2 linked regions of the Oryctolagus cuniculus genome follow. Each later gene encodes a partner of the first gene's protein in a complex. Links are inferred from orthologs where the notes say so. Each region holds a gene or a part of one and is shown on either strand. Other genes may lie near its edges.

Region 1 (4,151 bases):
TAGAGCTCTACAAGGTACCAGGATGCACTTTGCACCAAAGCCATACCACATGTGTGTGTGAGTGTGTATGTGTGTGTGTGTGTATGTGTGTACATAATAAAACGACTGGATGAATTCCTACTGACTCCTCTGTGACCTGTGGCCCACCCTCTGGGAGGGGCTGTAGCAGAACTGCTTTAGGTACACTGTGCAGGCAAGGACAGCACTGGGCCTGCAGGAAAGGCTCTGCATAATCCACGGGCTTCTTCTCCCTTCCCCTCATGTTTTCAGCGGCTGTAAGTAAACCTGCTGGAGACTCACAAGGCTCTGGGGGAAGTCACACAGCTGCCATCTCTGGCACTTGCACACACACACGGCACTTCACGGTTCAAAAAGGGCTTCTGGGCACAAACATTCTGCTTCCTTTTTTAAATTTGAAAGAGTTAAAGGGAGAGGGGGAGGGAGGGAGGGAGAGACAGAGAGAGATATCGTCCATCTACTGGTTCACTCCCCAGATGGCCACAACAGCCAGGACCTTCTTCCGGGTCTCCCACGTGGGTGGCAAGGAGCCCAAGCTCTTGGGCCATCTTCCACTGCTTTTCCCAGGCCATTAGCAGGGAGCTGGGTGGGAAGTGGAGCAGCCCACATGGGACGCCGGCCTCACAGGCGGTAGCCTTCCTGGCTGTGCCACAGCGCCAGCCCCACATTCCGCTTCCTCACTAGGGAGCTGGCAGCTGCAGCAATGGGCATGTTTCTTCAGCCCTCTCTGAATCTCTGCAGGTGCACTCCCTAGAGGCAGAGGGTGTTCCCATCTCCTTGACTCTGAGGATAGTCACAGGCCTTGCCGTGGCCCACGGAACGGCGTGGGGGCAGCAGCTTGTCCCTAAGGCAGCCCTGGGGTCTCCGTGTACTCGGGGCCTATATCATCATTGTGAACCTGCCCAGCCTTCCCCATTCACCCCAGAAAGAGGAGCTGGGGTGCATGGCACAGAGCTGAACCCACCCTGGGTCTTTGATCCTCAGCTGAATCAGTGACTCAGTTTGGGGAGGCCTGTTAGCATTGCCGCAGCAGTGCCAAGCACTCTAAGTACGTAATCCCCATTTGATAGGTGGGGAGCCTCGGAGCTCCAGAGAGGAAGGCACTCGGCTAAGGCCACGGTGCGACTGGCAGAGCTGGCACTCGAGACTCAGAGCCTTCTGCCTCCACGGCCGCCGCTGGGGGCAGAGCTATGCGTGCTGAGAGCAGTCAGGGCCCACACCTCTGATGGCAATGACACCTGATGGAGGAGCTGGGAGTGGGGCGGCAGGCCCTCTGGGGTGGAGGTGTTGTCCTCGGGCTGGGTGCAGTGGTTATCACTGGACGATTGGTCCACTGCGAGCCCGCCGATGAAGGCCGAGGAGAGGCAGACTACACGGCCCAGGACACGAGTGGGAGGTACTGAAAACCCACAGGCCTTTTTTGAGGGCGGGAGAGACACAAAGGGAGGGAAGTCAGCAGGCGTGTGGTCAGCAGGTTTCCGTATCGAAGGGGTGGGGCAAAGCCCTCTAGGCCTGCTGGCCACACAGCCACTCAGGTGGAGGGTCTGTCCACGGCACAGGGTCAGTGGAAGGGTTGTGGCAGTGGTGCCCCTGCCTGCCCAGGGAAGGAAGTTGCCCCTGGCCTGGAGGCTGGCCAGACACGCCAACCCTGCTCACTCAAATCCGGTTCCCTGGGGACAGCGTCCTGAATGCCCAGCCCTTGGGTTCCCAAGTCACCCCCAGCTGACAATGCGGGGCTGCCCAACGAGACAGCCTGGCTCCCCAGGGTCAGCACTGGGCTGCTGAGTGCCTGCCCTGGCGGTGGTGACCTGAAAGGTGGCCGTGGGGCCTGGGCTCTGGGTGCCTCAGGGAGGCAGTGGTGACTCAGGGAGGCGTGGGCTGGAGAGCAGGGGTGGGGCCTGCACCTGGGGCTAGGAACAGAGCGAGGCCTGTGAGTCAGGGCACTGCCCCCACCCTGCCCCCCGGTGCCTGGCTGACCTCGGGCAGTCTGGTGCTGTCCCAGGCCAGAGACTCGGCCAAGTCTTCCAAGCTTCCTCCTGGGGCCCCGCTGTCAGGGTCTCGGGCAGCCCAGTTAGAAGGCGGCAGCATCCAAGTGCCAGGGGAGAAACACCCCCCGCTGGGCACCCCAGAGCCATGGTGCTACGGGGGCAGTGTGGTTCTCTCTTCAACTCTGTGCTTTCTGCTCCTGGGCTCGCTCCTTGAGGGGCGACTGGAATGGATGCCCTCCACGGTGGGGGGGGGGGGGCGGGGGGAGCTGCATTTGATGATTCCTGGACTCTGCCGCCCAGCCCGTGGGCCAGAGCCCTCCTCCCTGCCTCACCTCCTCATTGCCCTGTGCAGGGGCCGGGGCGTGGTCCTGTGCGGCAGCACCCTTCGGCTTCCTGTTTTGCTCCTCATCTGGCGGCACCGCTACGGGCCCAGCTTCTGGAACCCATAGGCCTGGAGCCCTGCCGGACCGATCCGCCTTGAAGCCTCCCAGGTCCGGGGTGTGGTGCCTCCGTCCTGCCTCTCTTCTGTTTCCCGCCAGGCCAGAGGCTGTCGGTTTCCTCCTAACATCAACTCTCCCCTTCTCCTTCCGGACAAGAAGCCCAAGAAGGAAACACACTGATGGCCACAGACTACATTTCCCGTTTTGCAGCGGGGCGTCCTTGGGACTGGTTCTGTGCAATGAGATGTACGCTGAAAGGCAGCGACGGGTTTTAAAGGGAAGGGGCACCCTATTTCTCTTACTTCCTCCTCCTAACGCCCAGAACTTGGGTGTGATGGCTGGAGCTCTCCAGCCGACTTGCATCATGAAGACAAGGTCCGATCCTAGGGAGAGTGGGACAAGGATCTCCAACCAGCCTGGCTGGAGGAGGTGCGGCACTATCTGGAGTCAGACCGGCATTATTTTAACGGTTTTTCTTTTGTCCACTTAAATTTCTATCTTCAGCTCTCTGCTGTGGCCAGGGAGTGCAGTGGAGGATGGCCCAAGTGGTTGGGCCCTGTACCCCATGGGAGACCAGGAGAAGCACCTGGCTCCTGCCTTCGGATCAGCGCGGTGTGCCGGCCGCAGCGCGCTGGCCATGGCGGCCATTGGAGGGTGAACCAACGGCAAAGGAAGACCTTTCTCTCTGTCTCTCTCTCTCACTGTCCACTCTGCCTGTCAAAAAAAAAAATTCTATCTTCTCAAAGCCGCTATTTTCAGGGTCTCTGGTTCACTGTCAAACCTAACCCTCATGGGTACAGTAATACTCCTGCTTAAATTCTTCCGATAGGTTCCCATCATTCCTAACTCGCAAACTCCTCACTGAGGCCTTACGAAGTCCCTGCCTCTTTCTGTGTCCTAAAACCCTCTCAGAGCTCCGGTCCTTCTTCCGCTCCCCAAACGAGCCGGGGCAGCCCCAGCCCACCTCCCTCTCAGCGTCCCCTTCTCAGCGAAGCCCTCCCCTGGCCCCAGGCCAAGCTGCTCCACAGGGTGCACCCATTCCTGTCCCAGCTGCTGCTGCTTGCACCTGTCCTCAGGGCAGGGACTGTGTCCCGACCTCACGTGGCACCTTGGGCCTTGCAGTGCTTTGTGCATGGCCAGGGCAAACAGATCTCCTGCACTGTAAGGCCAGGCACGCCCCACTTTCTGACTCCGCCGCCCCCATCTGTCCACTGCCTCTTCTTATCTTGTCGGTCTGGACAAAGCTGGCATCTCACTTCAACATCGCAGCCGCCCTACTGGGGTGGGCACCCTGTGTGCGTGGGTGACTCGCTCAGGGTCACACAGCTAGTCAACAGGAGGGCCTGGACTCAAAGTCCACCTTCTCCCCGGCATCCCGAGCCACAGCCCTGGGCTTGTGTCTCAGACAAGGCCTGGTCACCCGAGGCCAGCACTGAGGCCTCCCTGGCGCTCAGCCCAGCCCCTTGAGCAAGGGGGAGGGAGGCTTGGAAGGGAAGGGGGGCTTTAGTGCCCAGCCTAACAAGCAATGGACAGAACCAGAGGAGGCCTTCGTCCCCCCCCCCCTATCTGCATGCCTCGGGGCCAGGGCTCCTGCTGAGCTCGGCCTTCCCATCCCGAGCGCCTCCTGGGCCAATAGCAGGGGGTGTTTCCCAGCATCCTCCCTGCTACAGCCCCTGTGCACCGCTGTGCACTCCCCCTGAGGCAG
Region 2 (4,076 bases), on another chromosome or scaffold:
TTTTTTAAGATTTTATTTATTTATTTGAGAGGAAGAGTTATAGACAGTTAGAGGGAGAGAGAGAGAAAGGTCTTCCTTCCATTGGTTCACTCCTCAGGTGGCTGCAACAGCTGGAGCTGCGCTGATTCGAAGCCAGGAGCCAGGAGCTTCTTTCTGGTCTCCCACATGGGTGCAGGGATCCAAGCACTTGGGCCATCTTCCACTGCTTTCCCAGGCCGTAGCAGAGAGCTGGATTGGAAGAGGGGCAGCCAGGACTAGAACTGGCACCCCTATGGGATGCCAGTGCCACAGGCAGAGAATTAACCTACCATGCCACGGCACTGGCCCTGAAAGATACTTCTAATAATTAAAATTTTTTGGTGGTATTCTAAGAAGATTTATTTATTTGAAAGCAGAGTGATAGAGACAGAGAGAGAGAGAGAGATTGTCCATCTGCTGGATCATTCTCAAAATGGCAACAGCCAGCTCTGGACCAGCCTGAAATCAGGAGGCAGGAACTCCATCCACAGAGACAGCAAGGGCCCAAGCATTTGGACCATCCCCTGCTGTTTTAAATTTAATCTAGAAGGGGGTTTAGATGATATTAAGGAAAAAATGTAATGATGGAAATATTAAAAAACAGATTTGATTTTCATTTATCTCACATGGCTTAGTTTGAGGTAGAAATGCTTCTCAGATTATGTGTTAATCAGAAACATGAAAGCCTGTTAAAACCCCTACCAGGCCCCATCCCCTAGAGATTCTGATTCGACAGGTCTGTGATAGGGCTTGCGAATTTGCATTTCTAACAACTTTCCGGGTGATGCTGAGGGCAGTGGTCCAGGACCATACTTGGAGACCATACTCGACTGAAGGTTTCCACATTCTTCTGTCCACCATGTCCCTCATCCTGCAGGTGGAACGATGCTGGTAGGCTTAAATAAATTATCACGTGGAGGTTGACGAGATAATCTTGTGGGGAATGTCTCCCGCTAGGTCAGAACCTCTGCTCCAGATTTTCACACAGTTGTGCTGATGGTGCTCCTTTCTGAAAAGGCCTTGTTTCGGGTATAGCTGGTGGAGTGTGTGAGCTCCTCGTTGAAGGCCACCTCCAGAATGCCCTGCAAGGACTGCCTTGCTTTCTTCCTGAAATCTTTCCCCAAGAGGGCATAAAGGAAGGGATTGAAGCAACTATTGGCAGATGCTAAAGCAATGGATAGATGGTCCCAGGCCACCAGTGTTTCCCCAAAGGGAGTTTCTGAATCAAAAAACAATAACAGGACTCCAACCATGTGATATGGAGCCCAGCAGACAAAAAACACAGTCACCACCACCATGGCCAAGCGAATGGTTTTGCTCCCTGACTTAGCAAAGCGACCCTGCTTCATTCTGCAGGCAATGAAAGTATAACAGGTCACCATGATGACAAAGGGCAGTAGGAAACCGATCACTAACCTTGTGAAGGTTATTACCAGCAGGGGTTGACTGACATGTTTATATTGATCTAAATAATCATACTGGAGATCTTGCGATAGTTCAGATGCATATAAAGAATGTCCAGAAGTACTAGGAAGAAGTTCTAAGTCAGTAGGCAGGAAAGCACCAGAATGATCCAGTGGGTTAGTTCCATGCTCTTCAGTGGGAAACCCATTGGGAACTGTAGGTGGAACGACACTGGTAGGCTTGAATAAATTATCACGTGGAGGTTGATGAGATAATCTTGTGGGGAATGAGTCTCTCAAAGGTCCTTGAAATGTTTGAGAATGGAGGTCCATGGTTGCTGTCCACAGTTGCTCATCTGTTTGGATAGAGGAAGGATCTAACCCAATATCCATGTCTCCTGGCAGCTGAACAATGGAGTTGTAAAAAGACCCGTTTTCCAGGAAATCGAGATCAAAGGGGAAGTCTGAATAATCTAGTGAGCTGTAGAGATCAAAATTGTAGCCACACATTTCATGGCCATGTGAGGTGAACGTTTCCCGGTACACAAACACAGGAATGCACATTATAAAGGCCATCACCCAGATGCACCCACAGATAGTCAAGGCTGTCTTGACAGTGCGATGATTCTGGCACCAGATTGGCTTGAAGACCACGAGACAGCGGTCCAGGCTAATGGCTGTGAGCAGGAAGACGCTGGCAAACATGTTGAGGATAACGACGGAGGGGATGAGCTTGCAAAGGAACCAGCCATAGGGCCAGTATCCGTTGAGAACCAAGTGAGCCAGGGAGAGGGGCAAGGAGAGGCAACAGATAAAGTCTGCCACTGTGAGATGGAGAAACCAAACCGTGGTCACCGTCCGCTGCATCTTCAGGCCAGCCACCCATAACACCAGTCCATTTCCTGGCAGCCCTAATAAAAAAGTGAGGCTGAGAAGGACCATAGAGAGAATCATGAGGGGGTTATCCAAAGGCTGTGAGAATAATTCAGTGGAATTGGTCTCAGCGGAGAAAGATTCCATGGCTAATCTGCTGCAAGAAGATAAAAAGAAATGTTAACACTAACAATAGCTTTTAAAAAATGCGTATTCCTAGACGTCTAACCGTCACATGGGTGATGGGGAAACACAAAGGCAGAGAGCCTGCACACTGTTTTAGTTTGCATTTCTTGGCCTCACACTGGAACACACAGAAACATTCTTTGTTAGACAATTTGGGGAGCATGCATTTGGCACAGCAGTTAAATTGTCCCTTGAGATACCTGCATCCTATGTCAGAGGTCCTGGCTTCTCTCTTTCTCATCCAGTTTCCTGCCAGGGTTCACCTTGGGAGGCAGCAAGTGATGGCTCAAGTACTTGGGTCCCTGCCACTTCTGTGGGAGATCTGGGTTGAATTCTGAGCTCCTGACTTCAACATGGGCTGGTCTTGGATGTTGTGGGCATTTGAGAAGTGAACCAGAGGATGGAAGATCTCTTTCTCTGTCTCCTCTTTCTCTCTCCATTTCAAATAATGTGAAAAATAATAAACTAAAATGCAATCAAAATTTGTAAGATCTGTTTGGATAGATTTAAGTGTCTATCAAAATGATAACCTTGGGGGCTGGCGCCGTGGCTCAATTGGTTAATCCTCTGCCTGTGGCGCTGGCATCCCATATGGGCACCGGGTTCTAGTCTCGGTTGCTCCTCTTCCAGTCCAGCTCTCTGCTGTGGTCCGGGAAGGCAGTGGAGGATGGCCCAGGTGCTTGGCCCTGCACCCGCGTGGGAGACCAGGAGGAAGCACCTGGCTCCTGGCTTTGGATTGGCGCAGCACCAGCCATAGTGCCATTTGGGGAGTGAACCAATGGAAGGAAGACCTTTCTCTCTGTCTCTCTCACTGTCTGTAACTCTACCTGTCAAATAAAAATAAATAAATAAATAAATAAAGATAACCTTATTTAGAAGTCCATAAAATGTATCAGTGTGAATTTCTCTTTTTCTTGTATTTTCAATCTTCCATATTTTCATTGGTTCTTTTCCTCATGCAATGGCCCCTACTAAACAAGAGCAGGGGTTTAGCCCAGTAGTTAAGACACCTGTGGCCGGCACCACGCCTCAATAGGCTAATTCTCTGCCTGTGGCGCCGGCACACCGGGTTCTAGTCCCAGTCGGGGCGCTGGATTCTGTCCCGGTCACTCCTCTTCCTGTCCAGCTCTCTGCTGTGGCCTAGGAGTGCAGTGGAGGATGGCCCAAGTGCTTGGGCCCTGCACCCCATGGGAGACCAGGAGAAGCACCTGGCTTCTGGCTTCGGATCAGCTCGGTGCGCCAGCTGCAGCGGCCATTGGAGGGTGAACCAACGGCAAAGGAAGATCTTTCTCTCTGTCTCTCTCTCTCTCTCACTGTCCACTCTGCCTGAAAAAAAAAAAAAAAAAAAAGACACCTGCATTCCACATAGGAGTACCGGGGTTCTATGTTTTGGCTCCTGATTCCAGCTTCCGCTAATGAAGCTACTGGGAGGCAGCGGTGATGGCTCAGCTATTCGGGTTTTGGCCACTCGTGTGGGAAAGGTGGAATGCGTTCCTGACTGAGCTTTGGTCCCGGTCCAGCACCAGCGCTGGGCATTTGTCAGAGTGAACCAGCAGATGGGAGTGCTTCCTCCTCACATTTCAAATTAAATAATTT

The links.
Region 2: the proteins of GNAO1 (region 1) and C3AR1 are in contact, whole or in part, in a cryo-EM structure (PDB 8I95), measured with the Homo sapiens proteins. The link is inferred for Oryctolagus cuniculus from reciprocal best matches to the Homo sapiens genes GNAO1 and C3AR1. Residues at the interface, in NP_066268.1 of Homo sapiens: Ile28, Ala31, Lys32, Asp33, Val34, Asn194, Leu195, Ser264, Asn316, Glu318, Tyr320, Asp341, Ile342, Ile343, Ile344, Ala345, Asn347, Leu348, Arg349, Gly350, Cys351, Gly352, Leu353, Tyr354; in NP_001313404.1 of Homo sapiens: Asn57, Asp119, Arg120, Val123, Val124, Pro127, Ile128, Gln131, Asn132, Arg134, Asn135, Tyr356, Ile359, Arg362, Gly366, Arg367, Phe368, Ser371, Lys374, Thr375, Val378, Leu438.

Annotation. Positions count from the first base shown.
Region 1 is NC_091449.1:40,103,843-40,107,993, reverse strand, and holds the start of GNAO1 (guanine nucleotide-binding protein G(o) subunit alpha), read right to left. Parts: upstream 2,904-4,151; 5' UTR 2,813-2,903; coding exon 2,339-2,812; intron 1-2,338. UniProt on the Homo sapiens protein: Guanine nucleotide-binding proteins (G proteins) function as transducers downstream of G protein-coupled receptors (GPCRs) in numerous signaling cascades.
Region 2 is NC_091440.1:101,922,801-101,926,876, forward strand, and holds the start of C3AR1 (C3a anaphylatoxin chemotactic receptor), read right to left. Parts: upstream 2,866-4,076; 5' UTR 2,722-2,865; coding exon 2,681-2,721; intron 2,452-2,680; coding exon 999-2,451; 3' UTR 1-998.